Nothobranchius furzeri: one gene and its partners. The protein of the gene in region 3 binds, or shares a complex with, the protein of the main gene of each other region. Links are inferred from orthologs where the notes say so. Each region holds a gene or a part of one and is shown on either strand. Other genes may lie near its edges.

What was found.
Region 1: mks1 (region 3) and cc2d2a share a complex: the UniProt entries of both Homo sapiens proteins name them as parts of the tectonic-like complex. The link is inferred for Nothobranchius furzeri from reciprocal best matches to the Homo sapiens genes MKS1 and CC2D2A.
Region 2: mks1 (region 3) and tmem17 share a complex: the UniProt entries of both Homo sapiens proteins name them as parts of the tectonic-like complex. The link is inferred for Nothobranchius furzeri from reciprocal best matches to the Homo sapiens genes MKS1 and TMEM17.
Region 4: mks1 (region 3) and tmem107l share a complex: the UniProt entries of both Homo sapiens proteins name them as parts of the tectonic-like complex. The link is inferred for Nothobranchius furzeri from reciprocal best matches to the Homo sapiens genes MKS1 and TMEM107.
Region 5: mks1 (region 3) and cep290 share a complex: the UniProt entries of both Homo sapiens proteins name them as parts of the tectonic-like complex. The link is inferred for Nothobranchius furzeri from reciprocal best matches to the Homo sapiens genes MKS1 and CEP290.
Region 6: mks1 (region 3) and b9d1 share a complex: the UniProt entries of both Homo sapiens proteins name them as parts of the tectonic-like complex. The link is inferred for Nothobranchius furzeri from reciprocal best matches to the Homo sapiens genes MKS1 and B9D1.
Region 7: mks1 (region 3) and b9d2 share a complex: the UniProt entries of both Homo sapiens proteins name them as parts of the tectonic-like complex. The link is inferred for Nothobranchius furzeri from reciprocal best matches to the Homo sapiens genes MKS1 and B9D2.

What each region holds. Positions count from the first base shown.
Region 1 is NC_091748.1:39,037,807-39,041,672, reverse strand, and holds part of cc2d2a (coiled-coil and C2 domain-containing protein 2A), read right to left. Parts: intron 3,262-3,866; coding exon 3,114-3,261; intron 2,015-3,113; coding exon 1,876-2,014; intron 1,791-1,875; coding exon 1,587-1,790; intron 1,508-1,586; coding exon 1,415-1,507; intron 1,333-1,414; coding exon 1,241-1,332; intron 1-1,240. UniProt on the Homo sapiens protein: Component of the tectonic-like complex, a complex localized at the transition zone of primary cilia and acting as a barrier that prevents diffusion of transmembrane proteins between the cilia and plasma membranes.
Region 2 is NC_091744.1:77,712,879-77,716,813, reverse strand, and holds tmem17 (transmembrane protein 17B), read right to left. Parts: upstream 2,526-3,935; 5' UTR 2,443-2,525; coding exon 2,328-2,442; intron 2,193-2,327; coding exon 2,089-2,192; intron 1,886-2,088; coding exon 1,772-1,885; intron 1,695-1,771; coding exon 1,551-1,694; intron 1,415-1,550; coding exon 1,337-1,414; 3' UTR 679-1,336; downstream 1-678. Other genes in the region: agbl2 (cytosolic carboxypeptidase 2), read left to right, coding at 4-94, 157-306, 378-408, 496-664. UniProt on the Homo sapiens protein: Transmembrane component of the tectonic-like complex, a complex localized at the transition zone of primary cilia and acting as a barrier that prevents diffusion of transmembrane proteins between the cilia and plasma membranes.
Region 3 is NC_091750.1:66,889,932-66,893,928, reverse strand, and holds the end of mks1 (tectonic-like complex member MKS1), read right to left. Parts: intron 3,840-3,997; coding exon 3,797-3,839; intron 3,708-3,796; coding exon 3,645-3,707; intron 3,568-3,644; coding exon 3,497-3,567; intron 3,422-3,496; coding exon 3,352-3,421; intron 3,273-3,351; coding exon 3,165-3,272; intron 2,647-3,164; coding exon 2,513-2,646; intron 2,299-2,512; coding exon 2,216-2,298; intron 1,973-2,215; coding exon 1,875-1,972; intron 1,303-1,874; coding exon 1,199-1,302; 3' UTR 866-1,198; downstream 1-865. UniProt on the Homo sapiens protein: Component of the tectonic-like complex, a complex localized at the transition zone of primary cilia and acting as a barrier that prevents diffusion of transmembrane proteins between the cilia and plasma membranes.
Region 4 is NC_091745.1:78,310,851-78,315,475, reverse strand, and holds the start of tmem107l (transmembrane protein 107), read left to right. Parts: upstream 1-1,729; 5' UTR 1,730-2,036; coding exon 2,037-2,123; intron 2,124-3,756; coding exon 3,757-3,824; intron 3,825-3,897; coding exon 3,898-3,998; intron 3,999-4,625. UniProt on the Homo sapiens protein: Plays a role in cilia formation and embryonic patterning. Requires for normal Sonic hedgehog (Shh) signaling in the neural tube and acts in combination with GLI2 and GLI3 to pattern ventral and intermediate neuronal cell types.
Region 5 is NC_091744.1:50,508,351-50,512,932, reverse strand, and holds the start of cep290 (centrosomal protein of 290 kDa), read right to left. Parts: upstream 3,047-4,582; 5' UTR 2,839-3,046; coding exon 2,731-2,838; intron 1-2,730. Other genes in the region: protein O-mannosyl-transferase TMTC3, read left to right, coding at 4,080-4,268. UniProt on the Homo sapiens protein: Involved in early and late steps in cilia formation. Its association with CCP110 is required for inhibition of primary cilia formation by CCP110.
Region 6 is NC_091752.1:49,447,698-49,452,181, reverse strand, and holds the start of b9d1 (B9 domain-containing protein 1), read right to left. Parts: upstream 2,889-4,484; 5' UTR 2,700-2,888; coding exon 2,637-2,699; intron 2,513-2,636; coding exon 2,444-2,512; intron 1,439-2,443; coding exon 1,330-1,438; intron 1,254-1,329; coding exon 1,157-1,253; intron 1,067-1,156; coding exon 1,004-1,066; intron 327-1,003; coding exon 259-326; intron 187-258; coding exon 68-186; 3' UTR 1-67. UniProt on the Homo sapiens protein: Component of the tectonic-like complex, a complex localized at the transition zone of primary cilia and acting as a barrier that prevents diffusion of transmembrane proteins between the cilia and plasma membranes.
Region 7 is NC_091743.1:62,502,851-62,506,079, forward strand, and holds b9d2 (B9 domain-containing protein 2), read right to left. Parts: upstream 1,939-3,229; 5' UTR 1,501-1,938; coding exon 973-1,500; 3' UTR 817-972; downstream 1-816. Other genes in the region: poc1a (POC1 centriolar protein homolog A), read left to right, coding at 618-632, 2,280-2,364, 2,495-2,666, 2,867-3,046. UniProt on the Homo sapiens protein: Component of the tectonic-like complex, a complex localized at the transition zone of primary cilia and acting as a barrier that prevents diffusion of transmembrane proteins between the cilia and plasma membranes.

The DNA of each region.
Region 1 (3,866 bases), on a different chromosome or scaffold from region 3:
CATCAGACCCACGTGACCACAGAGCTAGCTCCGTGGAAAGGCCTCAGTAGAGCCTCGGTCTGGCCTGGAAACTGCTCCAGGATTTTGAGTCTCTCAACTTAGACCATTAGTTGTAGCGTGTGTGTGTTCTTGTTTGGATATTATTTGTGCAATTGTTGGACAAAATGACTTGCTGTGGCATTAATTGCACTAATAGAGCGTCCAAGGAGTCTCCACTTCATTGTTTTCGGTAAGTAAAATTATATTTATGTATTTTAGGTCACTGCCGAGCTGAGCTTAGATTTGAACATGTACTGTTTAACCATGAAATGTAAATGTAATAGGGTAAAACCCAGTGCATTTAACATAATGCTGCACTTTAGAAAATGGGCTGAAATATGACATGTTGGTGGAGCTGGGTTCCCACTATCGGTATGGTCCTCTCCCCCCAGCGGCAGCTCGGCGCATCTCTGTCTGATCGCGGCACCTGTCTGCTGCGTGGGCTATCGGCTTGTGGAGCTCTCGGAGACCTCTGTGTTCCACCCGGGTTTACCCAGCGGTCAGCCCGGCGTATCTCTGACTCAGAAGCTCTGGTGTTGTGCACCGCTAGGTAGCTACCTCCGTTAGCTTAGCTCCCACCTCCGTGTTAGCTTTAGGTTAGCTTGTAGCGACATCGCTTCAGTTCGACGGGTGTCGTCATTTGATCCCAGCCTTACAGCCCCACCCTCAGCTCCACCTCTTTCCCCTTTTATGGAATTGTCTGGGTTTGACGGAACCTGTGACACGGTCAAAATGGCGGTGGTGGCCACCTCCCACTTTGGCACAAAAACGTGTTACTGGAGCCTTTGGACACAAATTGTCCAGTATGTATGTTGATGGTCCTACTGTGAGAGACCTAGCTTTAACATAATCGTCTGAATTCAAGAGGAGAACTCTTGCTGTGTGAAGATCAATCAGAGGAAAAGCTCCATGAGAGGAGATGTACTTACTTCAGTCTGTGCCAAACGCTGACTCTGCCCCTCTCCCAGCTGAGCTGACTGTGATGACGAGAGCCCTGACCTCTGTGGTACCAGCTATCTAACCTTGCCTTTTCAACTACAGATGGGAACTGTGGCTTTGCCTGCACCTTTGCACTCATGTTAACAAAAGGAACACGCAGAGGTTTAACAGGAGTTATAAGATCAAACGTGTTTATCTAACACAACATGACCAGATCAAATGGAGAAGAAAGTCAGACTGCTTAGTCTTCTGGAGGGTTTACCCGATGCTCGGGATCTCCTCTTCCACCACCAAGTCAGACAGCAGGTAGTGATGTTTGGCCTGAATGAATCGGTTGATGACGGATTCTCGTATCTGTGGGGAAACGGAAGGATCAGAGTAAACTAGACGCTGTTCTGTTTTTAAAATTAAAATTCTAACATGTGTGCCTTCTTACCTTCTGAAGATATCTGGCCACCAAAGCTCTGTGAGAATCCAAATGCTCTTCCTTGTTGATTATCTCTTCATCTCTCAGTCGTCTGTCATATTCCTAAAACATTCCAGCCAAAGTGAATGAAAAGAAACCTCCATCCTGCGTGTTCTGATGTGTGTATCTGCCAGACTCTGACCTTGAACACCTCCTCTGACGTCTCACTGGAGAACGCAGGAACAAATTTGTAGTTGCGGAACTCGGGGACTCCCTGGTGCCTCAGCCTGAGCAGGCGGAATCGTTTGGATTTCTCCATCTCTTCATCAGTCGCAAAATTAAATTCCTCCTGCAGGTGTTCCAGACGGAAGTAGTCCGGAGCGGTCACCTCCCCGCTGCTGGCCACCTGTCAACACACCAACAGCTTCCTCGTCACAGCCGGGTTCCTTTTGAGCCATCTTCAGCACCAACAGAATGGTTCTGCTGCTCACCTTTAGCAGCTGCATGATGGAGGCATTGTTTGGATCATTGGGATCCAGTCGTGACTGTGTGGCCCACTCACTAATCTTCTTCATGTCGTACAGTCCAGATGCACCGATATAAGTGACTGCGTCCAGATGCCCCAAACCACTGAGACATCGGGTTGATTAGAGTTAACATCACAGAAACAAAGCCTGCTCAGGTGGCTTGCTAGTGTAGGCGAGCCCAAATGTTTAGAGCCAAAGTCAATGATGGACTCTTCTGTGTCACGGGTGCTCTGTGGGATTTACTACTGCTGGAAAACTGACACCTGGGACCAGTTGCTCCAAACCTTTTCTTCCTGGTCACTTCAGCAGCATTCCCAAAAGTCACGAGCGCTAAACCTTTTCCTAAAACATTCAAAGAATCTTGAAGCTTCCATACGTCTTTCTGAGAGGAGCTGAAGGCATGTGTAAATATCAGTAACTAAAGCAGGAAACACACGTCCTCCTGAAACCTGGGCCGTGTAACTGGGTTGTTTCATCTGCAGATGAAATATTTTATGGCTCCACATTTCATCATTTTCCAACTCCAACATCTTTATACCACATGGTGTTCATAGTGTTTGCTAGTTGCTGTACTTCTAGACTAAATGCTGTCTTACAGGAAAACACAACAGATTTATGAATAATAATAATAATAATAATAATAATAATGCATTGAACTTATATAGCGCTTTTCTAGACACCCAAAGACGCTTTCACACACTCTCACATTCACACACTGCTAGTGATGGTAAGCTACTTGTAGCCACAGCCGCCCTGGGGAGGTCTGACAGAGGCGAGGCTGCCATTTGGCGCCGTCGGCCCCTCTGACCACCACTAACACAGGCAAGTTGGGTGAAGTGTCTTGCCCAAGGACTCAACAGCAGGATACCCCTGGCGGGAGCTGGAATCGAACCCATGACCCTCCGATCATGAGGCAACCCGCTCTGCCACCTGAGCTACTGCTGCCCCAAATCTGAATGCAGCCTTTCCATTATTATTCTATTCTCTGCAGTCCAAAAATCACAGTAAGTACAGTCAAACACACGTGTGTGTATAGCAGCGTTTCTGATGCATGCACTCACACACTCAGTAGATCAGTGTAATTATGACTACGTACATCTGTGCAGAAAAACTTTGATCACACCTGTGATCGTCAGAGATCCCAGTTTAAGAACCCCACTGGTAAAGAATCTAAACCAGTGGATCTCTCCTAGAGAGACTACCTGTGTGCAGCACCTAGCTGCTGGGAAACAGGAGGAGCGCGCGGTACATCATCTTCCCCGATCCCCCAGGAAACGCAGCATGCCAGCTTCCCAGAGGTCAGCAGGATCACTTTGTTGCTTCCATCAGGCTCAAAGGACAGCGGCACATCTGAGGAGGCGCAGAGCAAGGAAGGACAAGGAGGGTCATGAAAATGTCCCATGCCCCCATAAAATCCAGTTTATACTTGGACAGAGACTAGAGTTGAGATTAAAACCTTAAAGGGACAGCTCAGAGGGTCTCAAGTGAGATTTCGTGAAAAGGATAAACAGTTGGCATATGTCCTGTTAAAGGTAACTATTTCAGTTTTCAGGAACACAGGTCAGTTCAGATCGATGAGCTAACAGCTAGTATGAGTAGGGCCAATTACAAAGTGTTTGTGTCATCTTTAAACAACACTAATCTAAAACACTAGCAGCTCATGTAAGTGCTATTTCATAAACATTTACATCACCATATATTTTATATTAAACAGCTATTCACATCAAACTCAGCGGTGACTCTAAAACTAAGGAGACCAGTTTCTTCCTGGCTTGAATTTATGACATTTCAGCCAGAAAATACTTCAAATGTGAAAAATGATGGCATGGTAAAGGTTATAAAATAGCATCTGCATAAACTGCTGTGAAGTTTTAGGAACGTTTGTAAATGTTTAGTCAAAACCAATCTCTGTTACTCCTAACTGAAGCTGTTCATAGCTACAAGTAAGACGTCGA
Region 2 (3,935 bases), on a different chromosome or scaffold from region 3:
TAGGAAAACTGCTCAGGGAGCCGGTGCACTTCATGCCTTCAGCGGAGAGCGTCTCCACATGCCGACACGCGCGCAGCTGCGTCACCCCACTCAGGTAAGGTTAGGAGACACATAGGAGGTTTTCCAGCAGATAAGGACGCATGACTCGTTTCACAGGTGATGCAATAGTGAGAGGACAGTGGAAATGCTCCTCTCAGCTACTACACCTGAGTGCTCTCCTTCCACTTCCTCCAACTTTCATTCCCTCTGCGCAGCACCAGCGTTTCCCTCTGCGCCAATCTCTTTCCCACTCTCAAGTCTGCAGAGGTTTGTTTCTTGAACAGCAGCTTAAAGTCTCCATCGGTTTTTGCCTAATGCGAACCACCTTCTTCTTTCAGGGCTGACATCTCCTTTTGCAGCACCTGGCAGGTAAACTTCATGGATAGATTATAGTTTATTACAAAAGGGTGTGTTGTGTGTTCATAATTTTTGTATGCTGTGTTGCTTTCATGGCAGATGTCCCCCATCTTTGTCTACCAGCATGGCTCCAGCTGTTGTTCCAAAAAACCAGCCGCTGACGAGTTTCACCTCCACCAATACCAGCAGTCGGCATCGTTTTAGAAACAGATCTTGTCTTCAGGCGTCCTCCACATCAAACACAAACCTAATCAAGACAAAGCAGTGAAACGGGTGCCAGGATTCTTCTCAAAGTTCAGCTGCATTTTAATAGAACAAGTTATTTTTGTGACAATGATGCTTCATTGGGAAGATCTAACAGAAAAACACATACGTTTTATACCAAATCTCACTTATCTCTTCGTCTTGTGACAATAACATGCTTTAATTCTTCTGATTATTCTAATGCAATCTCATGATTTCTCAAATAATATTTTCAGTACATGAAAATAAATGTTGTAAAAAATATAAAATAAAATAAAGCACTTGGGTGTTTCATGAATTTTGTTGAAACTTTCTGTTTTGGTCAGAACGTTTCAGTCCCTCTGAAGCAAAAAGCTCCTGAACAAAGAGCAGCGTAAATGTCGGTAACTTTGTACAAAAATTTCTTTTGTAATTAAAAAATAACTAAATGGTCAACAAATCTAAACCAGATGCTAACTAACAGTACAGAGTGAGTCAAGTAAACATGATTTACTTCAAATTTACAAAAGCAATGATACAAGTGGAACAAAATACAAAAATAAATATTTTCTATTATTTTTTAGCATTAAATTTAAAATTGTGTGAAGAAAGTGTACCAAATCCTATATGCAAATACATAGTTTTTGTCATTTGAGACTGGGAGGTATGAAGTAAGAATAAATCCTGATCAAATGGAACACCAGAACATATGTGGACGTCAGTCAAACTGTTGGAGATGAAACTGGCTTCCTGTGTGTCTAACCATTTCCCGCAGGGCCACAAAACCAAAGACAGCCTGGATCAATCAGAAAACAAAAAAAAAACAGATTACAATCAGTCACAATTACTTGATCTCAAATTTGAGAAAACACAATAACATGTGTATTTAGGTGCATTTGCCACGTAAAATGGAGCTGAGAATCCAGTCATACCTGTGTGAGGATAAATATGGCAAGAACTATGTGGACACCTCTCTCCAAGGGCAGTATGATTATGGCTTCATTAAAAAGTTGAAAAAGAATGAGTGGAAACTGCAGCAGGATGCTCAGCAGCCAAAAGCCGGCCAACTCTGGAACCTTCCACAGATCAGAAATTACATTCAAACCCCACCCTGCATTCAGCACCTGTATCATGTCATCTGAGATGGTCTCACCTTTTCTTGCAGGTTTCCAGAGTAACCAAGATAAAGTCTGATGGCCTCAATCAGAGTCATCAGTAGAAGAACAGTCACAAGGACAAACTTGTAGTAATTTGGAAGGGCAGGATACTGCAAGAACAACTACCATCAGCATTCTTGTTGTGTTGGAAGCTTCAAAACATACATGAAAAATCTGATTCTAAAATGAATTGCTATAGTTTAATACATATCCATACTTAAGCACCAAAGTATCCTAAATCTAGCTTAGATATTTGGGATTTTTCTTTCTTTCTGGGTTTTCTGCTCGCGGCTTCCATCCACCAACCTCGTACCTTGAGGTGAAGCATCACAGCTTCACTGATCCACCAGAACGGGAAGAACCACGTGTTAAAGTACAAAGACATCTGGAGCTGGAGGCTGGACAGAACCCGTTTGTCTAAACACATACAAAAAAAATGAGGGGAACTAACTAAAATCGGTATGGTAAAGTAACAAGGCTACACACATCCATGCTAACATCCATGCTAACTCGACTTCATAGTTAGCTTGTGTTTTTGTTTTTTTTTTTTACCGTGAGGTATAAACGAGTCGTTGTGTTTTGAGAACGGCTCATTACGAGTCTGGTCGAATAAAACATTCCGAGAAAAATCTTCTAAGCGCCTCCTAACTGTCTCCGGCAGCTCCATTGCAAAGAAAATCAGGCTAAAAACAACATGACCAGAGGAGAAACACTTCCGCTTTTTCCTACTAGCTCCGTCGTGAAAGCCACCGTCGTTTCCATGGTAACCATTGATGGTAGTGGGGGTGAGAGAAAGTGAAAGGCCAGAAGCAAAACGTGTCTCCTTTTGCGTTTTCAAAACTTCCCAGATTTTAACTACATTGATAATAAAAATTTAAAAAGCGAGACTAGATAGGGGGGAGAGTATAATGTGTAGCTCAAATAATATTTATGGAAGCTGATTAACGCTACTCATTAAAAAATATCTCATTTCATTATTATGAGATAGCATTTGATATGGCTTTATGTCTCAGAATAATTAGTTACTATGAGACAGCATCATAATTTTTACTAGCTATCTCATTATAGTGATACTAGGGTTGCAGCTATCGAACATTTTAGTATTCGAACATTCTATCGAACCCTCTGTTGATTCTCTTTGACAATGTTTTAAGTGAAACAAAATTGTGGCTTTCTGCAAAAAATGTGTATGTAAAAATAGTATGTATTCAATAGGTGTTGTCTAGTTCCCTCCCTCTCTGCACCAGTAAAATTTGGTGCACATATTTAAACCCTCCCACTGTCCTAATGGGTGTGACCCCACGAGGAAAGTTGACCATTGAGCAGGGTTGATGGTTTATCCCTTGGGTCCACGTGGCAGGGGTGAGGAGTGAGCACCACCTCACCCCTGCCACGTGGACCTCAAGGGATAAACCATCAATCCTGCTTTATGGTCAACTTTCCTCGCGGGGTCACCCATAAAGACAGTGGGAGGGTTAACAAAGTCTTGAATCAGTAAAAAATAGTTCATGAAATTTAATTAATCAAACCATTCATACCATTTAATGATTAATTTCCACCCTACGTGATGAGATGTGGGGCTGAAATGAATAGATAGTATCTCATAATTATGAGACGCTATCCCTAAATAATGAGATTGTGTCTTGTTATTATGAGATAGGTAAGTCATAATTATGAGATACATTTTTTTAATCAGAGTGGCAGGAATGGGCTTCCATACTTATGGGAACCATGCTCAGTAAGTTTTTTTTAGTTATACAAGTCAGGCAAATAACACCAGGAGGAGGAAAAAACCTGTTTCATAGTTGTTGTTTTTTTGCTTTAAGAGAAAATGAAAATTACTGATTGTGTGTGAAGCCACTCCCGCTCTAGCAGAAACTAGGATGGCTGCAACAAGAGAGGCAGCTGATTCTCTGTCCAGCTACATGTGTTCAAAGCTGATGAAGAACCCTCTTTACTGTGGACATGTGGACTTCTGCATGGACTGTGTGAACAGCTACTGGGTCCTGAAGGAGACGAGAGGTGTTTACAACTGTATTCAGTGTCTACACACATTCCCCTCAAGACCTGTGCTGAACAAGAACACAGTTCTGGCTGATCTGATAGTAAAACTGGCTAAATCAGACCAAGCCACCATTGCTGGAGAAGAGGAGTCTGGGT
Region 3 (3,997 bases):
TAAAAAAGTCCTTAGGCGTGTGTTTCCATAAGATCTGTTAGACTTTTTGAAAAAATTTGCAGGCTTTTTGTAAAAATCTGCAGGACACATAAGTGATCCGACATCAGATTTGACCTTGTTCTGTTTGTTTATGACGCTGGTGGCTCGCGAGCGTTTCAATGAGGAGCCCGTTGCCAAATATACGTTATGGCTTCAGAGACATTTAAGCAACTATTTGCCTCAAACTGTACACCTCTATTAAATATTTACGATAATCCCACAGGCACTAGTCGAGACAGTTCACTGTTTCAGGGCGTGACACTTTTAATCCAGAAACATCAACTTAATACATAATTCCCCTTAGCTAACATTGGTTAGCTTAACGGCTATGTACGAAAAAAAGCATCAACACTCATTCCGCAGTAAACAGCCCCAAACAGTGAATCTAAATAACCACCAGGGTTTTAGTTTCAGAAAACCGATTTCAGTTTTCGTTTGAGCATTAGGCTAAATCTGACACAAAAAAGAGAAAAGCGACCAGCGGCCCAGTTCCCATCGCTACATGCCTACTAGAGATACGCTAAAGCAGCCATACATTGACTAAGACACACAATTTACACATCAAAAAATTACACGATTGCAAAATTAACGTGAAATATGTGTACTTAAGTACCTGGTCGTGTGTGAAACTGAGAGGGAAAATCGCTGAACGGTCCTTTCCCTGGTTGGAGGAAGATGGAGAATGGTGCGTTTACAGTCATGGAAAATTGGACTACTTCCCTTTGGAGCTAAAACGAATGCTACGTTGGAGGACAACCCGCAGTCAGATAATGCGGGTTTCAGTCCATTTGTTTTGTTTTAAAAATGGGGAAAATATACCACTTCATTGCATATTTAATTTTTATTTAGTTAACCTTTATTTCAGATAAGAAAAATAAACAGTAAAATAAATAATAAAAGAAAACAGTACCTTGAATTTTGTAAAAAAAAACTGCTGGTATTATAGTACATTTATTAGACAAGTGTTATGCTCCATCTCCTAATGTTGGTGTAATAAATCGTTTCTGATGATTTTTTAAGTTAATAACATTTGTCAATAAAATGTCAGTTACAGTCTGAGAAGAACAGAAGATGACTTGAGACAAACTTTTCAGTTTTGGAAGCTTGTGCAGGATCCTAAATGCATCTTGAAATGTCAGTTTTAGTGTGTTTTTGGTTTTTATGCAGAAAATTCCAGCTCGAGTTGGGAAGTAGAGTTGATGGCTTTTTGTGGGAACGTTTCTCTGGCCTCTTGTAGCTTTTTGTATGCTCTTTGAAAGGCCTCTGAAGGGAAATAAAACAAACAAACAGAAAATACAAATTAAATTAACCCTGCAGAAAAATTCCCTGTTCTTTCTACATTTTTGTCTACTTTGGGCAATCAAGCTGCAATGCAAGGCTTGGTATACAGTCCATAACATTTTGTGAGTGTCCTAACAAATCCATCTTCCAGTGGTTTGAAATAACGAGAATCTAAATGATAAATGACCCATAATTGTATAGCGCCTCTCAGAGTAAGGACTCCAAAGCGCTGTACACTACAGTGTATCATTCATCCATTCACACACACATTTACACACTGATGGTGATGAGCTACGATGTAGCCACAGCTGCCCTGACGCTCGCTGACAGAGGCTAACTGGTGGCATTATGCTAATTTTCACTCCCGCTATCATAAAATCATTTCATGGTAAAAATAATAAATGGTGGAACATTCAGAGCCTGATTACAGTAAACTTTTTCACTTAACCACACACACAGAACTCACAGCTCACACAAACAAGGATACACTCAGCAGCAAACAGGAAGTGAAAGTCTTTTAAACCCTGATGCAAATACTGTGTGAGTATGTTTACCCAGAACATTGCAAACATCTCCCTGCTGACTAAATCCTCCCAGCTGGTCGATGACTTTCTGCCTCCTCTTTTTCTGAATGGCAGCGTCAACAAAGGCCCTGAAACAACCAGAAGCGAACAGTAAACACTTTTTAAAAGTAAAGATGAAACAATTTGCATTAATAATACAGATCTTTGTGAAATTTGTAAATGGAACACTTGCATTTGCATTAAGAAATAGTGTTTTGCATGCAGTGCAGAGAGTAAATCTCACTTCTGATGTTTTATTCATTCCATATAAACTGTTAAGCTGTCAGGGAGAAAATCAGAAACAGCTGCTTGTTGATTAAACTGGTCTTTACCTGGCTTGTTGGATGCAGTTCAGATTAAATGTGACACTTCCTGAGGTTAGACTGCAGAAGCCCAAGCGACTCAGCCTGTCTCCCTGAAACCAGACACCATTGTACCAGATTAAGAATCATAATAATGCATTAATTTACTTGCTTGCTCAGGTATACACAGTTAACTTGGTGATAACGAAATAATGCTACAACTACCACAATGTATATTTTTAAAACATCATGTTTCACCCATTAAACCTTCAGGAGAAAATTTATGCAAAGGTTCAAAACCTGGAATTAGCTTAGCTGTGAGTGCACCTTGAAGGTCCCTGGTATTCTGACATAGCTGTGATCTTCAATCTCTGCAGAACCTCCGATAAAAAAGCGCCTCAATGCAGAGACCGTCCCCATCTGAAGAGGTCGCCATGTGTGACAGGTCATGGTGTGCTTACCTGGGATGCACCAGAAACAGAATATATGATGGAGATGAATGATGGAGCATGCAGAGGAATTATTATTAACTTTTCTGAACCATGTGAAGTTAAAAATCTTGCATATTTGAAATTGTTGGTATGAATTCATTTGTAGTACAATCTTTGGTGAATTATCTGAATATCTTTAAATTTTGTTTTTGAATGTTCAGTAGATAAAACTCAGTCAGGGGTGTCGAATCCTGGTCTTGGAGGGCCATCGTCCTACATGTTTTAGAGGTTTCCCTGCTTCAGCACTACTGATTTCAATCAGCAGGGGATTAGAAGGCTGATCAAACCATTTAATCTGGTACTTTGGAGCAGGGAAACAACTAAAACGTGCTAGGTAGGGTTTCTTGAGGAACAAGGGTGGACATCCCTGGACTAAAATAAAATAACACTTTTAAAGACAATTAAAAATAACAGTAATGTGAATCTAAAATCATCTAAATAATAAAGAAGTAAATTAGTCAATGAGTCTTATAGATGCAGCAGCATACCAGGAATAGCTGGAAAAAGCAGATAACCATAGCCTTCAATACGATAGCGCCCCCACAGGTCAAGAGAAAGAACTTTGAAGTAAAGCACTGGCCACTGGGGAATTAGCTCTGAAATTAAAAAAAGTGAAAACACTTAAATTTAGACTTTTAAATCACATCATTTCAAAATGAAAAGGCTCACGCTGACCTTCACTCTCTTTCTCACTCTTGTAAAAAATCTCAAAGTTGAAGGGGTAACTGAAGAAAGCCACATTTTCCTGTTGGCAGAGATCAACGTGTGTCAGTGTTCATGTTCTGAAGCAAGTAACCAGTTTCTTACGTCAAACACACACCTTCCCCAGTGATTTGGTTCGACAAGTCTGGGTAACCCCTGACAGAAACTGGGGCATTGAGCTGGACCAATCTAAAACAAAAAAGTTTACTAAGATCTCACTAAAACTAAATATCACAAATGAGTATCACAGACGGCTTGTTACTCACTATTGGGAAGATCCAGGACGAAGTGGACGTGTAAGTTATCATACTCAAATCCTTTAGCCGAGACTAAAGAGAAAAAGAGGGAAAAGAGAGAGTGGTAGTTTGAAAGTTGATGGGTAATCTAAAAAGATAGCGATCACAGCCGTCCTCCTCACCGATCTCTCCATCCATCAGGTAACGTAGCGTACCAACAGCGGGCTGGACAACAAACATCTGGTTAGCGAAAAATGTTTGCAAAGAAACAAACGTTCCCACTGGTTCATCTAATGCACTTTAATCAGTTACCAGCTCAGAGGCCTAGTGGTAGAGGGTCCGCCCTTGGACATCGGGGTTCAAACCCGGTCGGGTCGTACCAA
Region 4 (4,625 bases), on a different chromosome or scaffold from region 3:
TCCAAATCTTTCCTTCCACCTGTTTTGAGGGACCGCTCCAGACGGTCGGGCGTCCTGGGCGCAGGCCGACGTGCCTGTCTTGGAGAGCGAGTGTTTGGGGTGGAGGCAGGTGAGTTGGGGTCCGGGGGGAGATCTGGAGGAGGATAACCTCTCTGGACCAGCATCTCAGCTGCACAAAGCAGGCACACGCTGTGCTGGCACGGGAGAAGGATAGGCTGCTTCACCGTCTCGTCACACACCGGGCAATGCAGCTCCTGCTCCATACTCTTCATGTTGGACTGGAGGAGAGGCAGTGTGGATGTGGGAGAGGTCGAAAGAGAGAACAGACAAAAAGACCTGAGTCAGAAACAAATGCATGAGGTGTTTATCTGAAGCCTCTTATGTTCGGCCTTGTCAAGTGAACAGAGTAACTGTGTAAAGTTAGAATAACCAGAAAGAAAATATGTAACGAAGTTAGCTCACATTTTCTCTCAAATGTTTAACAAACAATAAAAATGTTAAATTCACGAAAAAAAGCATGATGAAAATCAGTTTCCGTGGACGTGGTGGCTCTTTTCCATCACTGCAGCTAGAGGGCGCAGCATCCCGTTTCTATGACAACCAGCATCATCTCTGTCTTTTCGTGTGCACGGCCCAACGCCTCTCGTGCTATTTTCTAACATATTTAAATTAGTCCAACAGTAAAAAAATCAAACGCATCAACTTCAGCTTCCACGTTTTAAATGTTGTTTTGTTGTTATTTACACAGTGCCAGAGCTTTACTGTGACGCTGATATCATGTCTCCAAACGGAATTAGCACGCTCCATCATCACAGCTGGACACATCTGTATGCAGATGGCTTCATATCTGAAACATGGGGGGAAATCCGCTAAAACATCCAGACTGAAACTGCACAAATGGCTGAAGTGACTAATAAAGCCAGCGTCATACTCACGTTGATGCGAACCAGCGCGTCCATGATAGAAGTAAAGGTTTGGAACTCCGACTCGGCCATGATGCTTTCTCGATTTAAGCGACTCAAAAGGATCTCCTGGAGAAAACCCCGGCTGGTTGTCTTCTTCTCCTGGCCGCGAGGCAAAGCCCGGGCCTTGGCTGGTGCCGCTCCGCTGCTCACGCACGCTGGATCGGTTCAGTCTGCCTCGGGGGAAGAGTCCACTGGTGGGATGGGGGTGGGAAATCTCTGGCTCAGACCATCTAACAGAAACACATTCGTTTCTTATTGCGCTGTTTTGTTTTACAGGCACGTTTATCCTGCCAATTCCAATTAAACATGCGGTTGTTGTTTGTCTTTTTAAAAATAAAACCGTTTTATCCAACAGCGAACGGATCTGGTGGCCCTTTCTATTTCTTTCATTTTGTCTTGTTTTTTTTTTCGGGGAACCTGAATTTTCGGGTAGTTTTAAGCATTTTTATGATAAAAATGAAAAGACATCAGGTGTTACCATCAGATCGCAGTATTGATGAATAAAAAAAGCAAATAAATAAACAAATAAATAATAAATAAATAAATAAATAAATATCCAGCTACACGTCAAGCTACACCTCTTTTACTAACTCTGACCAGGAAAAATGAAACGCGCTGACTACCCACCGTTACTAAATAAGATGTTTGGGTTTCTCTGTTTTATATTATTTACTGCTGATTAAAAACTCTTTTACGTGACGCGTTCATGGTCAACGCGGAACCGTTTAGGTGTTCGTTTTTTTGTCCGGTCATTAAAACCGTATGCACATTGTCCGTGGTTGTTGTAGCAACCGTTAGTTGCGTCACAACGTGAAGTTTTTGGCTCTGTTAACGAACGAGACACAAAACTAAGCTATAGACTTCGCGAGTTTTTAAACAAACAAATGAATCAGCTGGTTTATGTCATTAGCCGCAAGATAAACAGATGCTAAAGTGTTCGTTTAAAGTTAGCACATTTAGCTACATGCTAGCCTAGCTTACTGAGTGGTTTCCGTCGCAGTAAACAAAAACCTTTTACTCTTTTTTTTACTCACGAGCTTTTAGAGTTTTACTTTGCTGATTAGGATCACCATGTCGGCCATCAGCAGCCTTGTTCCTGCTCGGTTTCTCACCATCACAGCTCATCTTGTCATTGTTATCACCATCTTTTGGTCAAGGGTAAGAAAAAAATGGTTTATCTTTAATCTGATTTCTTGTGCCTGATTTTATTTTCATAATGGAGAAAACTTTATGGGATTTTAGATCTGTGGTTTTATTAGACGTTGCTGTTATATGAAATACCACAAAGGTGAACACACAAACACATTGTTAGAAATTCTGCTTAAACATCAAAGGTAATTAAAACATATTCCTTGTTGTGTTATAAAACGTCATTTAAGTTCCAGGAAGTGTCCTCATTGACCCCTAACCAGCATGTTCTGGTTGTTTCCCTGCCCAAACACACCTGATTCAATGGTTGAGTCACCTGTTTAGCATGATTAGGTCTGCAGAAGCTGTTAATCACCTCTAGGGTTGTCACGGTGTGAAAATTTAACCTCACGGTTATTGTGACCAAAATTATCACGGTTTTCGGTATTATCGTGGTATTGTTTTAAACGTGTTACATTTTCAGGAAACTAAATAAACCCTGTATATCAGGAAAATATTGTCCTCAGTTTGTGTCTAAATTTTGCCTAAAATGTGTTATTTTGTAATTATGTTGTTTATTTGTTTACATATTTCCCCTTAAGTCTTTAAAATACCAATATTTGCCCATAACTTTTCTTATTTTATGTCTGTTTGATGTCATCATTTTAAAAATATTAGACCAGATGATACTCAGTACTCAAGTAGCCTTCTAATCAGATACTTTTTACCCTTACTTGAGTAATAAACCCTATATCAGGAAAATATTGTCCTCGGTTTGTGTCCTTCCAGTGAGCTTTGCAGATGTGGGAAAATGGCATCAGGCAGTAATCGTTGTTAAATTCATAATTATTCTCGGAGAGAGACCAACTCTTATCTGCCCCTGGGAGCCCCGTAATGCATAGCGTCATTTCAACATGGCGGTGTCCGCGACACGGTTTATATGCAGGTAGCGGCGCTGCGGCTGCTTTATATAGCGACTCGTTGCGTTCTCCCTCAACCCAAATCCTCGGATCACGCATTTTAGCTAAAGCGCTAACGTTAGCTTGCCTTGCGTTGACTGTAGAGTTGTGGGTGATGGTCACGCAGATGTGTCATGAGATTTGAAGCGTTGCTGCCTTTCACAGACACTTTTTCTGCTCGTGCTGCAAACAGGATAGCCGTCTTCTATCAGCTTTCCCTCGGCATTCTTCTGGTATAAAAAAATGCCCGTACTTCTGACTTTGTCTTCTTAGAGCGATAATAAATGTCCTGAGTGCTGCCGTCTCCTCCTTTGTCCGTTATTTCAGCTTTAGCTTCAAGAAAGTTTTGGTTGTAAACAACAAAGTGCGCATGTGCCGCCGGCAACTTCAGCAGATGATACGGTGGCTGGTAAGGGTCACCGCGCCTACACCGCAGCCACGGTAATCCACCGAGATAATATAGTTTTTAAAAAAACAAGACGGTTATTATTATTGTCAACTTTTTTACCGGGGTTTACCGCTACACCGGTTACCGTGACAACCCTAATCACCTCTTGGTTAAAAACAGCAGAGCAGAGAAACCACTGAAACATGCTGGATAGGGGCCCTCGAGGTGCAGGGATGGACACCACTGCTCTACGGTCAACATCACATCCAGATTATTCAGCCCTTGAAATAATTTGCAATTGTTTTTCTTTTTATAGGAAAATAATGTAAAAGCATGTTTACCACTGGATTTCACACCAGAGCAGTATGATACCGAAGACAAAAAGTGAGTAGATATGTATGTAACACACTCGTATTATCAGGTTCTCGGATTAAATGATCTCTTTTGTTCCCTCCAGGCTGGTGGTGGCGCTGGCAGTCACACTTGGTCTGTTTGTAATCGAGCTGGCTGGCTTCTTTTCAGGAGTGTCTATGTTCAACAGCACTCAGGGTCTCCTGTGTATCCTTTACTCATCCTTAATGAAATATATATATATATATATATATATATATATATATATATATATATATATATATATATACATATATGACCTTTAATATTCAACAGTAAAGCGACTTCTGGTTAAGGCTGTAACACAAAGAACACGCAGCAGCAGCAGCTAGTGGATAACTAGCTTAGCTCTCTCCCACTTGGTCGGTTCTCTCTAAAAGACAAACGGAATAGCTGAATAAAACCCAAATTACTATAAAATAAAGGTTTGTTATAGGTTAAAGAGTAAGGATGAGTGAATTTGTTATTAAAAAGCTAGTCACTCCCAAATTAACTTTTTTTTTTGCTGATTAACTATATAAATGAGTGTCAATAGTTTTGCTAAGAAATACACACACACACACAGGCTCACAACGACACTGTGACATCATATGGTACCAGCTAACGTTCTAGGGTACCTCTTAGCCAATAGCGATGGCAGATTTAAATTCAAATGCAGTGCAGAGTTTTTACCTGACAACGGCACGACACTGACAGTTTTAGGCAGAAAATTTAAATTTTAACAAAAATGCACTAAAGTGCTAAACTATTTACGACACGTGTCTGCAGCACGATTAGACACACATTTATTTAGTT
Region 5 (4,582 bases), on a different chromosome or scaffold from region 3:
CCATGCTCCATAACATTTATTCATATGCTCAGCAGCTCTTCAAGGTCTGCAAAAGCCTGTTAATCACCTGATGACTAAAATCAGGTGTGTCGAAACAGGGAAAAACCTAAACATGCTGGAAAGCAGCCCTTAAGGACAATGATTGCTCACCTGTGAAATAGGGGACATAGAGTCAAAACTATCTAAGAGCTACAGTGGGGAACAACGTATTTGGCAGCCACCGATTGTACAAGAAGTCCCACTTCAACTGTGAGAGACAGGATTGGAGGATTTTAAAGAAATTATTTGTGCAATGGTGCAGAAAATAAGTATTTGGTCTATAACAAAATGTCACCTCTATACTTATGACAGAGGTCACGTTTCCTGTAGGTCCTCATCAGGTTTGGACACAGTAGCTGGAATTTCCAGCCACGTTTCAGCTTCAGTGCCTTTACTGATGGAGGAATTTTTTTGCCCAGAATCTCACTGTTGATGGTCCTTTTATCCCTTTCATTAATACAGATCAGTCGCCCGTCCCCTTAACTGAAGAGCATCACAAAACATGATGTTTCCACCCCCATGCTTCACACAGGGTGTGATACTATTGGGATGCATCTCAGCATTATGGCCCCTCTAAACATGGCAATTGGTGTTTATACCAAATAATTCTATTTTGCACTCATCTGGTCACATGACATTCTCCCAGTCCTCCTCTTGATCATCCAGATGGCCTCCAGCAAATCTTATTTATCTTCAAATTATTCTCTTCAGTGTTGGTGCTGCAGCAACAAGTGAATTTTCCCTCTGTGGGATCAATAAAGTCTATTGTATTCTATTTGACAGGCCTGGACATGCTGGCATAAGAAGGGAGACCTTACGGGCGCTGCAGGGTGTTCCAGCTCTTTTCAGGTCAGTGACCATTTCCCCTCATATAGTTTTGAGCTGTTCTCAAGATCATTTGTACCCCACTAATTAAGATCTTGCATGGAGCCCCAAGTCAATGGAGATGTCCAGTGACCCTGCATGTATTCCATTTTCTAATAATTGCTCCAAGTGGATCTCTTCTCACCAAACTGCTTGCCTATTGTAGATTCTTGTGCAGGTGTACAATCTTGTCCCTGGAGTCCTTAGACAACTCTGGTCTTGGCCATGGTGGAGGTTGGTGTCTAACTGTTTGAAGGTGTGAACAGAGGTCTTTTATACAGTTAACAAGTTCAAACAGCTGCCATTAACACATGCAGCAATTGGGGGACAGAAGAGCATAGAAGACAGGTGAAGTAATGGGTTTGTTAGGGATTCTTGCTTGTTTGTAGGTGCTAAATACTTATTTTTTGCACCATTATACAAATAAACAAAATAAATCATACAATGTGATTTCCAGGATTTTTTTTACATTATCTTTCTCTCACAGTTGAGGTGTACATTTCATGAAAAGTACTCTTTCATCTTTTTAAAGGTGTGGTTGACTGAAAAAAAACATTTTTTTAATGAATCGGTCACTGTGAGTTTTTCATGCAGGCTGAACATGAAAAACGTCTCCTACACTAATCTCCTGCATTAGCGTTCTATCAGCTTTGTGGGCCAATCGGTCTGGTGGGCAGGATGATGCGACAGAGTGGAACAAAATGGCGACCGCTCATTTGAAACAACTTCTACATCAATTTTGGACTATTTGGACTTGGGCTTCATTAGAATCAGGAGCAGATAGATGTATTTAAGTCCTTTAATTAGAAAAAAGGATTTATTTTTGCCAGCGGACCGCCTCATTTACCGGCATCCGTTGCGGTGAGTACGTCACTTTGTTCGTTGTCCAGTTGCATACGGAGATCCTTTGAAAGACATGGTAGAAACTGCCCCACAACCAAGAACAGTCAATGGAGCATTGCCAAACTAAGATATTTATTAAGTATAGCTTGCCAGGCTACTAGTATATTGACTTACAAGGCATTTATTCCTACTAGAGACCACTACAAATAGATTGATAAAATAAGTCACCCACACCACACAAGTGGGACACCTAGTAAAATCAGTGGCTGCCAAATACTTTTTGCCCCAAAGTACATTTTGTTGAAAAGAATTGCAATAATATTTTCTGTATTTTACAAACAAAACAAAATGCTGTCCAGTTAATCATAACCAATTACTCGTCCCTTACTTGAATTTATTTCATTCTGTGCTATTTTATGAAGTTATTCTGCTAAACAGGCTTTTCTTAAACATATGACAGCTATTCATTTTTAAAATGAAAGATCTTTACAAAAATGTATGCATTAAACCTCAAATTACTCCCAAATGTATTTAAAAATATAGATATTTAACAAAAAAAGGACTTGATAAAAAGTGAAAATATGAGTTTTGTTATGGGAGCTTGTTTTCCCCCCATCTCTTCTCTCATTGCACTGGCTCTAAATACAATGATGTGAAAAATATTTACAGATGTATTCACAGTGAATTCATTATTAATAAATAAAATATTCAGTTGAAATCTGTATTCTGAAAGTACTTGGGTTATATTTAATAATAACAATTGTGTTCCTGAAAGATTAGTCTAAAAACAGCAACAACAACAACAACAAAAAAACAGAAGTAGCTCAAGTAGGACAATTCATGCAACCGTTTTAGTAATAATGAGGTTTAACGCTTGTTTCCTCCACTCGCTTCGAATTAACTCGTTTTCTATTGTTTAAAATAAAGCATTAGTCTGACAGAGCACATCTGGAGAGTTCATATGATTTAAGAGTGGACAAATACCGAAATAAATGTGCGGACAACATCGTCCACTTCGTCCTTTTTCCATTCATGCACGTTCCAGGGGTCAAATCTTGACACTTTATTCCACACATGGCCGGCTGGCAGCATTTTGGACAACTGCTGTGGTTATCAATGTTTTCACGAGACAACGACTAAAAGGCTACTGCAGCCGTCAGGTGTACCAAATAACTCTACTCAGCTCCGCTGTAACCTCATATAAAACGTAGATTTTGGTAGGCTGCTTTAAACACGTCGTGTAAACGTTTCTGAAGTTTTGAAGCAAAAAGGTCAGTAAACTCTCATCCTAACTCCTGAGGTCTCTGTGAGGCTTTGGCTGCTAGGTTACGCTTCACAACTGCTACAGCTAGGAAGTAAAACTCACAAAAATCTTCAAGTGCTACAAAACGTCAACGAAAACACAACGAAACAATAAACGGGACCCTATAATAAAGGAATACCGCACTATAACGTTTCCGAAGAGTCTGTAAAGTGAGTTTCATCCATCAAAACGGGTTTAGCAGCTCTGTTGTTTAGCTAAAGTTTGACCTGCGCAGTCACCTCTGACCCGGAAGTACTATCGAAGAAGCGTTTAAGCTAGTTTGCACAAATGGAAAACAGTTTGATGAACTATGTTGTCCGAATTTACGCTACTATTTCTTGATTTTGATATAAGATTTGGTGTTGCTGCCGTCTGTCCTGTAATCACTTGGTAAGATAGACCTTAATGCGCATATTTAGACATTTCAGAACATAAAGACGGGTAACGAGCTAGTTAGCATTAGCGGATGAAGTATCTAGCTGTTCAGTTTCAGCTGTCAAACTGAGTTTCTCTTACTGCTCTTTTAGTGGTGTCTCGTCACTGTGAATACACAAGAACCACCTCGTTTTCCGTCATACTGTATTTTAAAGTAGATGTTAATGAGCGAGTTATATTGCTAATGATGTTGTTACTGACAAATGTCACAGCTCCGGGTCGTGGTTTGACCGGATAAGCTTAAAAGCCAACGGTCAGTCTCCATGCATACCTTTACTTGCTGTGCCATTAAAATACCTTACTTTTAATTATAGGCTAGAATAAATAATCCAGTCAATCAGAGAAGAAAATACTGTTGAAATTGCAGTTTGTTGCCATAACAGGGCTCAAGTTAGACAGAAAACATTTGATGTAATTGGCTTCATGACCTGTTCTAACCTCGGAACACAAAGTTTTAAAAGTTTAATTCTGTTTAATCAGCTTGGTAATGTAAGTACAATACAAGCGTTTTAAACTAAATCAAACTGTGCTTATTAATTTTGATTTCTGCCAACCCCTCCTTCCCTGCAGTGATCAATGAGGGCTTTGGCCAGCCATGGCTGTCGTGTCATGGAAGGAGATTTTATTTCTGACTGGACTGGTGGTGGGATGTTACTGGAACAGTCTCTCGTGTGGCTTTGTGTTTGATGATGTCTCAGCTATCCTCGACAACAAGGACCTCCGGCCCACCACCCCCATTCGCAACCTGTTTCTCAATGACTTTTGGGGCACCCCCATGGCTGAGGCAAGTCATGGTCCTATTTGGATACAGGCTTATTTTTCTCTTCAGAGATTGTATGTTTTACAGCAGGTGTGTTTAATTCCGGTCCTCAAGGGCAATTTGCCTGCTTGTTTTAGTTGTTTCTCTGCTCACACATTTGAACCAATGTGAGATAATGAAACCATTGAATCAGGTGTGCTAAAATGTGAATACCCCAGCTTAAGAGGATCTTAACATCATGCTTTGACCTATTTGCCATTTAATATTCCTAAAAGTGGCTGTCACTGTATGTAATAAGCAAGACTGTATATTTAATGCGAAGAATTTCTCCCACCTAA
Region 6 (4,484 bases), on a different chromosome or scaffold from region 3:
CGAGTCAGCTCAGAGTTCAGAGGTTGTGGCTGACTGCTCTAAATCCACGTGGAGGAGTTGGTGTGGCTCAGTCCGGCGTGGCAGAGTGGACGTGTGACGGTCCCACGTCGTAGCCCATCTTCTTCATGTCTTTACTCATGATGTGAAAGGAGACGGTTACAGAGCCTTGGGAACAAACTCTTGTCACTGAAACGGAAAAATATATATATGTTAAAAGTTTTATTCTAGAAAGGTAAAAGAAGAAAAAGCACCACTAACCTTCTCTGCCTTCACCCTGGGCCACGACCTTAGGGTCTGTGTACTCGGGCCGCCGCCCCAGCAGCCAGCTGAACAGAAATAGGATCTTTTAGCGTGTTTCTCTGAAACAGTTCACAGCTTCCTGAATAATTTGCATCCTTCACGAAGGCCGTGCTAATGGCTAGTCCCAGTTGCTGCTGTCCTAAAACGGCACAGGTCTGCTAAAGCTCACTGTGGTTCATCACATTCTTTACAAATGTAAACATCCCCAATAAACTAGCATTTCTGGTGCATCAGGGGTCAGGTCCTGCAGGAATTTATTCATATTTCTGCTAAAATGTCTATGTGATGAGAACCTGACAGCAGTGAAATGACCTCACATGGCGATCTATGACATTTAGAGGCCTGGATGTGGCTCATCAGTCCTCTAGGATGCACAGTCTGTTTCTCTGACCAGATAATTAGTAAGTTTTACACAAAACGCTCCTCAAAATGGCAAAAAACTCCATCAGATCTAATAATAATCACATTAATATTCAGTTTTCATGGTAAAAATGAAAAGAAAAACACTAAAAAGACTGAGAGCAACATCAAACAAGCCCGAGTGTGAATCTAAAGTATCCAAACGTGACAAAGATTAGTCAAAAATGAACCTTTAAAACGTGTGTTTGTGTTGGAAGCTTGCGTTCCACATGAGAGGAAGATGAAATATTTACTGTTCCTCTAAAGATCACGGGTTTCCAACAGCTAAGGAGACCGATCTCACCCTGTGAACTTCTGAAGTCTCCACGTGGGCTCGGGAACGAACATGGGGATGGATCTTTTATGTCTGACAAGTGAAAAACATTCAGATCTGTATCTTCAAACCGAAGTAACACATTCTGTATGCTTTTAGGTCAAACATGAAAGTAATACTGACTGTCCAGGTGTGAAGGGGATGTGCGTTGCTCCATAGCCTCTGACCACATCGTTACCAAACACATCTGGTCCGTACACACTCACCACCAGCTGAGGCCCTGGGGGACAAACGGCGTTAATCCTAAAGAGTCACACATGATGATGATGATGATGATGAAATTGTGATCTACTCACACCCAAAAGGATTTGTGCTCTTAAACGTCGTCTCCAGAGGAAAGTTCCAGACTAATCTCTGTGTCTGACTGTTTTTGCAGGTTATTTGAGTTATTCCTTCTTCCAGTCCCTGGAGAGTCACATTCGTTACAACACAACTCCATCCAGCCACCGCTGCATTAACTATCTATAAACCCTGTTCTGTATCCTTGAAAGTCACGTCTGACGTTATTGGGCAATACCATCGTCCGATATTGGCATTAAAATGTAACATCGTTGAGTTATCTTTTTTACTGTTTGAATGACACAACCTTTGCATAACATGCTCACATTATACATCAAACTCCTCAAACACATCAAAATATGGCTGATCTGAGGTTTCGTTTGTTACTGTCTGCATCTGTGTGGGTTCGTGTTCAAACGTAGTATTATCCGTAAAAAAAAGCATATTGAACATCTTTAACAATAAGGTTTATTGTTATGAACCCATCTGTAAACACAGCATCCACATATGTGGAAAAAGCCTTGAGATATCATTTTGTTTATATCTTACAAAATTGTATTATTACTCAAGGAAACGTAATTAATTATTTTTAATTTAGAGCTAAAAAAAATCCATTATCAGTTAGTATTTGCTTTAAATAATATATTTCTGAGGTCTTACAAATCCAGAACAGATAGATGAAAATTAAAAATGCACAATAAGTGCTCTCAGAACCCAAGACGTTTATTTTACATGAACGAAGAGTGGAAAAGAGACATCTTGCCCAATAGTGAGCCATATCTGATCACCCATATATTTCCTCTAGTTTCTATATTAAAACATTTCAGAAAGTTACATGTTTTTTACACTTTTGACGTCATGTGATAGTTATGTTTTTATAATATGCTAATAAATTGTTTATATAGCAGTCTGATCTGTGTAATACATACAGTCTAGTAGAAGTATACCGGCAAGAATCCGGCCAGTTTAGTCTCATTCTCACCCTTAATTCGTGCATAATAAACACTTAATGGCTTTAAAACGTTGAAAACATTAATAACATCACTATAATAAATGTATTAGTATTGTAAAGTGGTACCCAACAAGCATACTTCATGTTTCATCCTAAATGCTAATGGTTGTAATACTCACTGTGGTTGGAGCCCAGTCGTGGCCGTACACGTAACAATATTTGCAGTACAGATTGTCATGCTCTGGAAACTGAAATAAAAGACAAACATCACCATAAACAACCCGGAACATCCCGGATGAAGCACCAAACGAGCCATTGTTGCTAATGCTAACGCTAGCAGCTAAGCTAAAACTAGCTAAAAAGACGACTTACGTTCGCTCCCTCAATCTGCCCGTTCACCGTGAGGAGGAACACGCTCGGGTTGTTTGTTGCCATCGTGACTCCAGAGGTTCAAGAAAGTAAAAGTCTGTTAAATAAGTCGAGCTAATTTGGTCAGTCTGAAGCGATCCGAGGTTGTTGCTAAGGCAACGTTTACTCCTCCCTATGGCTACCGGTTTGGATAAAATTAAACGCAATTCTTATTGGTGATATTGGGCCATCACGTGTTAAAATTAATTTTAAATAGAGCAAAAAGTAATTCAAGAAATTCAGTCAAAATACTTATTTTTATAAACACCCGAAGTTTATTAAAAGGAGAAAAGAAGGCGGAGAAACAATATAAAAACTCTGGTTTAATTGTCTAGGCGTCCACTAGAGGGTAGCAAAATCAAATACACTGACTTTTAAAAATGCAGGTTCGTTCTCATTCACGACTGAAATCACTTCACGACCAAACATGTTTGAAAATCGTTTTTTAACCTTATTACCAGCCCTGAAAATGTTATTTCTCAACCATCGTTTTATTGTTTTGTAGGCCCAAAGGACTGCAATGTCTGTTCAACAATAACTGAAACAAAACAACATCCAAAACAAGAAGCCTAACTTAAAATTTCCAGCTAACTGGACACCTCCAGTGCTGTATATAAACATGGATGTCTGCTTTTCCTACTGCGCCACATGCTTGAAAATCAGAAATGAATGAAACCAAAAAATCTGCATTCCAAAGTATGTAAACCCCTCTGGCACGTGTGTCTAAATACTGTGTTTTGTTTCAGATGTGACAAAAACAGCTCTTTCTTTCAGCTGTTTCATACCCAGCAACCTTTTTTTTTTTGCTCTTCTCTCAGCTCTCTCCCACACAGTGCTTCCTGCTGTCTCCAGGGCCCACCCCAAGTCTTCTGACCTTTGCAGCTCCATAAACAGCAGCTCTTATTGCACCTGCTTCCTTTTATCTCCCATTTTGTCTGCCAAGCTCAGCACCTGTATCACTTTTTCACCTCCAGCTCTTTTTTGATCTTCGCGATCATATGGCAGGAACTCGATGCATTTAGAAATCTAGCCTAACCCTTTCTGACCACTTGGACCCATCTTCTGATGGCTACTTCCAGCAGGATCATGCACCATGTCACAAAGATTAGATAATCTCTAACTGGATCTGGAACATGACCATGGGTTCCAGTTACCAAATCTCAGTCTGGTCCAGAATCTTTGGGATGTGGTGGAATGGGAGATTCCCCTCATGGATGTAAAAGTGGGATGACATGGACCAGAATCTCTGAGGACGGGTTCCAACACCTTGTTGAATCTATGACAGGAAGACAGGGAAGGCAAGTTCTGAGAGCATAAGCCTAGAAAACTAGACAAACCAATGCGGTTCAAAAATATTTTACCCTGCAGGTCGGTCTACCCACACTCTGTGGCCTAAACAACTCTTGGTCAGGCCAATCAGTGATCCTTGTTTGGCTCAATTTAGTTCAGTTTACCAATACAGCGCCAAGAGTTGTCTCTGGGCACTTCACAAAGTAAACATTGCGATTAGGGATGGACAATATATCGGCATCAATATCAGTATCGGCCAATGTTAGTCATTTTTAACATATCAGTATCGGTTCGATAAATAAAAGCGAGCCGATATTAACAACCGATATTTTTTCCATCTCATCTCCATTTGTTTGCCTGTTTCAGAGGGTGAGGGGTGATGTGTGGTTGTTTAGTCATGTGCACAGTGGATGTAATCATATCAGAAGCGTACATGTGTGTGTTGTGTGTACATAATAACGTAAAATCAGCTTTAATCATTTTCATTCTATACAAAATCTGCTGATTTTAGAAGCATTAATG
Region 7 (3,229 bases), on a different chromosome or scaffold from region 3:
TTTATGTGCATGTATCTCCGCATATTCCAATTTCTTAGGAGTGCATAGAAAATATTTTATACTGTAACTTCTGTATTGGGCTATTTTGTTATTTTAGAATTAAGCTACTGACTTCTGCAAAAAGACCATCCAATTGTTTAATTTGGATGTTTTTTCCCCGTCAATGCAAAAAAAAAAAAAAAAACATTTGTTCCAAAACATCACTGCACCGCTACTGACATCTTGTGGTCATATTTGGTTACTACACTCGTGTGCCCCTTGGTCATTTGGATTTGTTGTGCAAAAGAAAATAACTGCTTGTACAATCCGGAACTTCTTATTTTGTTATTCATCGTTTTTACATTTGATTGAAGTCTTTTTTCGACACAAACGTCCTTTAATGTCCAGCGTCCCCTTTAAGGACTCTGGCCAACAGCTCAGCGCCCAATCACGGCGCGTAAACTGAACTCTGTTGTTAGCAGCTAGCATTAGAAAAAACAATTCCAATTACCGGAGCGATATTTTCCTCCCTCTGTTCATTTCAAAACCCACAGTTGAGAACAATTGTATTTCGGTCATAATAGCCAAAGCAGCAACGAGCCTCTTTACTCGGGTGTACGTGCTAAATACCGGGAAAAATGACTTCTGCACTGGTGAGTTTGGCTAGCACTTGTTACTGTAGCAACTGAGGAAGTTCGTGTCTGATTTGTAGTAGACTACTTGTTTTGGTTAACGCACACACACACACACACATGTTCAAATATTCATAACGTTACAAATATGAAATATTAGGTATAGTTGGATTGATGGTAAACGGTAGATGAATAAGAAACCAACTTCAATGATAAGTGTTTATTTATAGCTGTATTTCAGGTGTAAAAACATCAGCATAGAAATGTACAAAACTTTGCCGTGTGTAATTTTTCAAAGGCATTTGCGACAAAACAAACTTTTTATAAGAAAACAATCAATACAACATTCTTATTTGACGTCTCAGCTCTCGACGCCATGTTTGTCAAAGTGTCTTATGATGACGCCCAGCTCCAGATTCACAGTGCCCATGGCCTCGGTGTGCAGTCTGTATCTGTCCGCTCCACTGTAAATCAGATCCGGGTTGCGGAGCTGGGGGCCTCCGCCGACAAATATTCGTGCTAGCTGCTCTTGCCAGGAGCCGAGCGGCCTCCATGTCACACAGCTTATGCGGTGATGTCCGGGGCTGGAGGGAACGTGGCAGTACCCGTATCCGTACAGCTGGTAGCGGCCGAATGAGTCCTGGTGCCACACTTGCAGATGAAGCTTCGGCCAGCCCTGGAGACCTTTGGTCGCATAGTGCAGATCAATTGGGTGGCTCCAGTAAGCCATTTCTCCGCTGTGGGGGGAATCCACCTGAGTCTGACCCTCCTTCAGCCCCGAGAGAAGACGCCATGCTCCCCCCGTATGAACTTCCCATTTGCAAAATAGGCTTTTTTGAGGAAACCCGCTGGCCCCGATGATCTGTCCTATAATGTGAAGCTCTGCCATTTCACAGCTGTCCGCTTTAACCAGAACATGCGACACACGGAGCCCGCTTTTATCAAAGGCTACAGAGCAACAAACGCAGCTCACGTCTCCTTGGTAACCCAGCCTGCCATAGTGTGCTCTTAATACAGCACTCCCTGAGCAGAGTCTGTCAGGCAGCACTTCCTGTCTAGGGCTGGTTCTATTTTTGAAGGCAAATGAGACACATTTTTATATCTTCTTGCTAAAAAAATATTACTTAACCTTTAATTTAGTAAACTAATTACGAATTTTAACCAATTTAATTAATGACGTGAAGCAGCTGTTACATAAATTACAATCATACCTGAAAGACTGAATAAAGGGTATACAAGAACCGCTGGTTTACTTTTTTCCGAATAACTATTTAACAGCGCAAGTTCAACAAGATGGCAAATGAAGTGCACTGTACTTTTTAATGTATTGTTTACATCTCAATGGTGCTTTATTTTTTAAGGTTATAAATTCTAAAAAGCTATTTATTTAGATATGCTTTCTCCTGCTTTTCCTGATGACTGTTCATCTTGCAACTTTTATATAACTCAATGGATAACTAAAGAAAGTAAAATTTATTTATATAGAACCTATTGTAGAAAAGAAAATCATGAAGTTCTTCAATGAAAATTACATAAAAAATAAAACATAAAATACAAAAAAGAAGAAAATATCATTTAATAACAAAAGTGGTCATAAAACAAATGAAAAAATAATTTCCAAACATAAACTTGTAAAATAATTGAAAATCTCTGTTGATTTCATCATAGTCTGATCCAACCCTAGAGAGAAATTTCAAGGGTCACAGGGACGTCGTGACAAGTGTGGACTTCAGCCGCAACATGAAACAAATTGGTAATATTATTATTATTTGATCTGAGCCTTTGTCCGTCTATATATTCACCTGTTATCCAGTTTGTTGTGTGCACATTGTAGTTAATACCAATCTCTTGCTTCAACCAGCTTGTGCTTCCTCCTTTCTCAGTCACAGGCTCTATGGATTCTTGTGTGATGATCTGGAACTTGAAGCCTCAGATGAGAGCTTATCGTTTCGATGGACACAGAGAAGCTGTAAACTCTGTCCAGTTTTCTCCATCTGGTCACCTTGTGGCCTCGGCCTCTAGAGACAAAACTGTACGTCTCTGGGTGCCCAGCATGTAAGTTTATACGTAGCAGCATTTTATGTTGTTTTCTTCTCATCAAGTTTCTCCAGAAATTATCACTCAAGACAAAGCTGTGGATTCCTAAAGGCAAAAGAACAAGATCTGCTGATTACTCTAATTTCATCATACCAGCGCCCTGAATAAACAGTGTGTTTGTCTGCTTTATGTATGAATAATACCTTTTGTGTTTGCAGGAAGGCTGATTCAACTGAATTCAGGGCTCACACTGCCACTGTGCGTTGTGTTAACTTCTCCGGTGATGGACAGAGCCTGGTCACAGCGTCTAATGACAAAACAATCAAAGTGTGGACGGTCCACAGGCAGAAGTTCCTCTTCTCTCTTAACCAGCACATCAACTGGGTCCGCTGTGCCAAGTATGAAACACACACACTCCCATTTAATACCACACCATGCAAGTTTCCCTGTGATATTTGTAATGATGAGTAAAGTGTTGTACAAGTGTTTAAAAAATTTAATATGTGATGTCAAGTTTTCACCTTTTTTTTTTACACTTTTCCTCTCAAATGTTTAATTTTAAAATTTTAATGTGCTTTTCT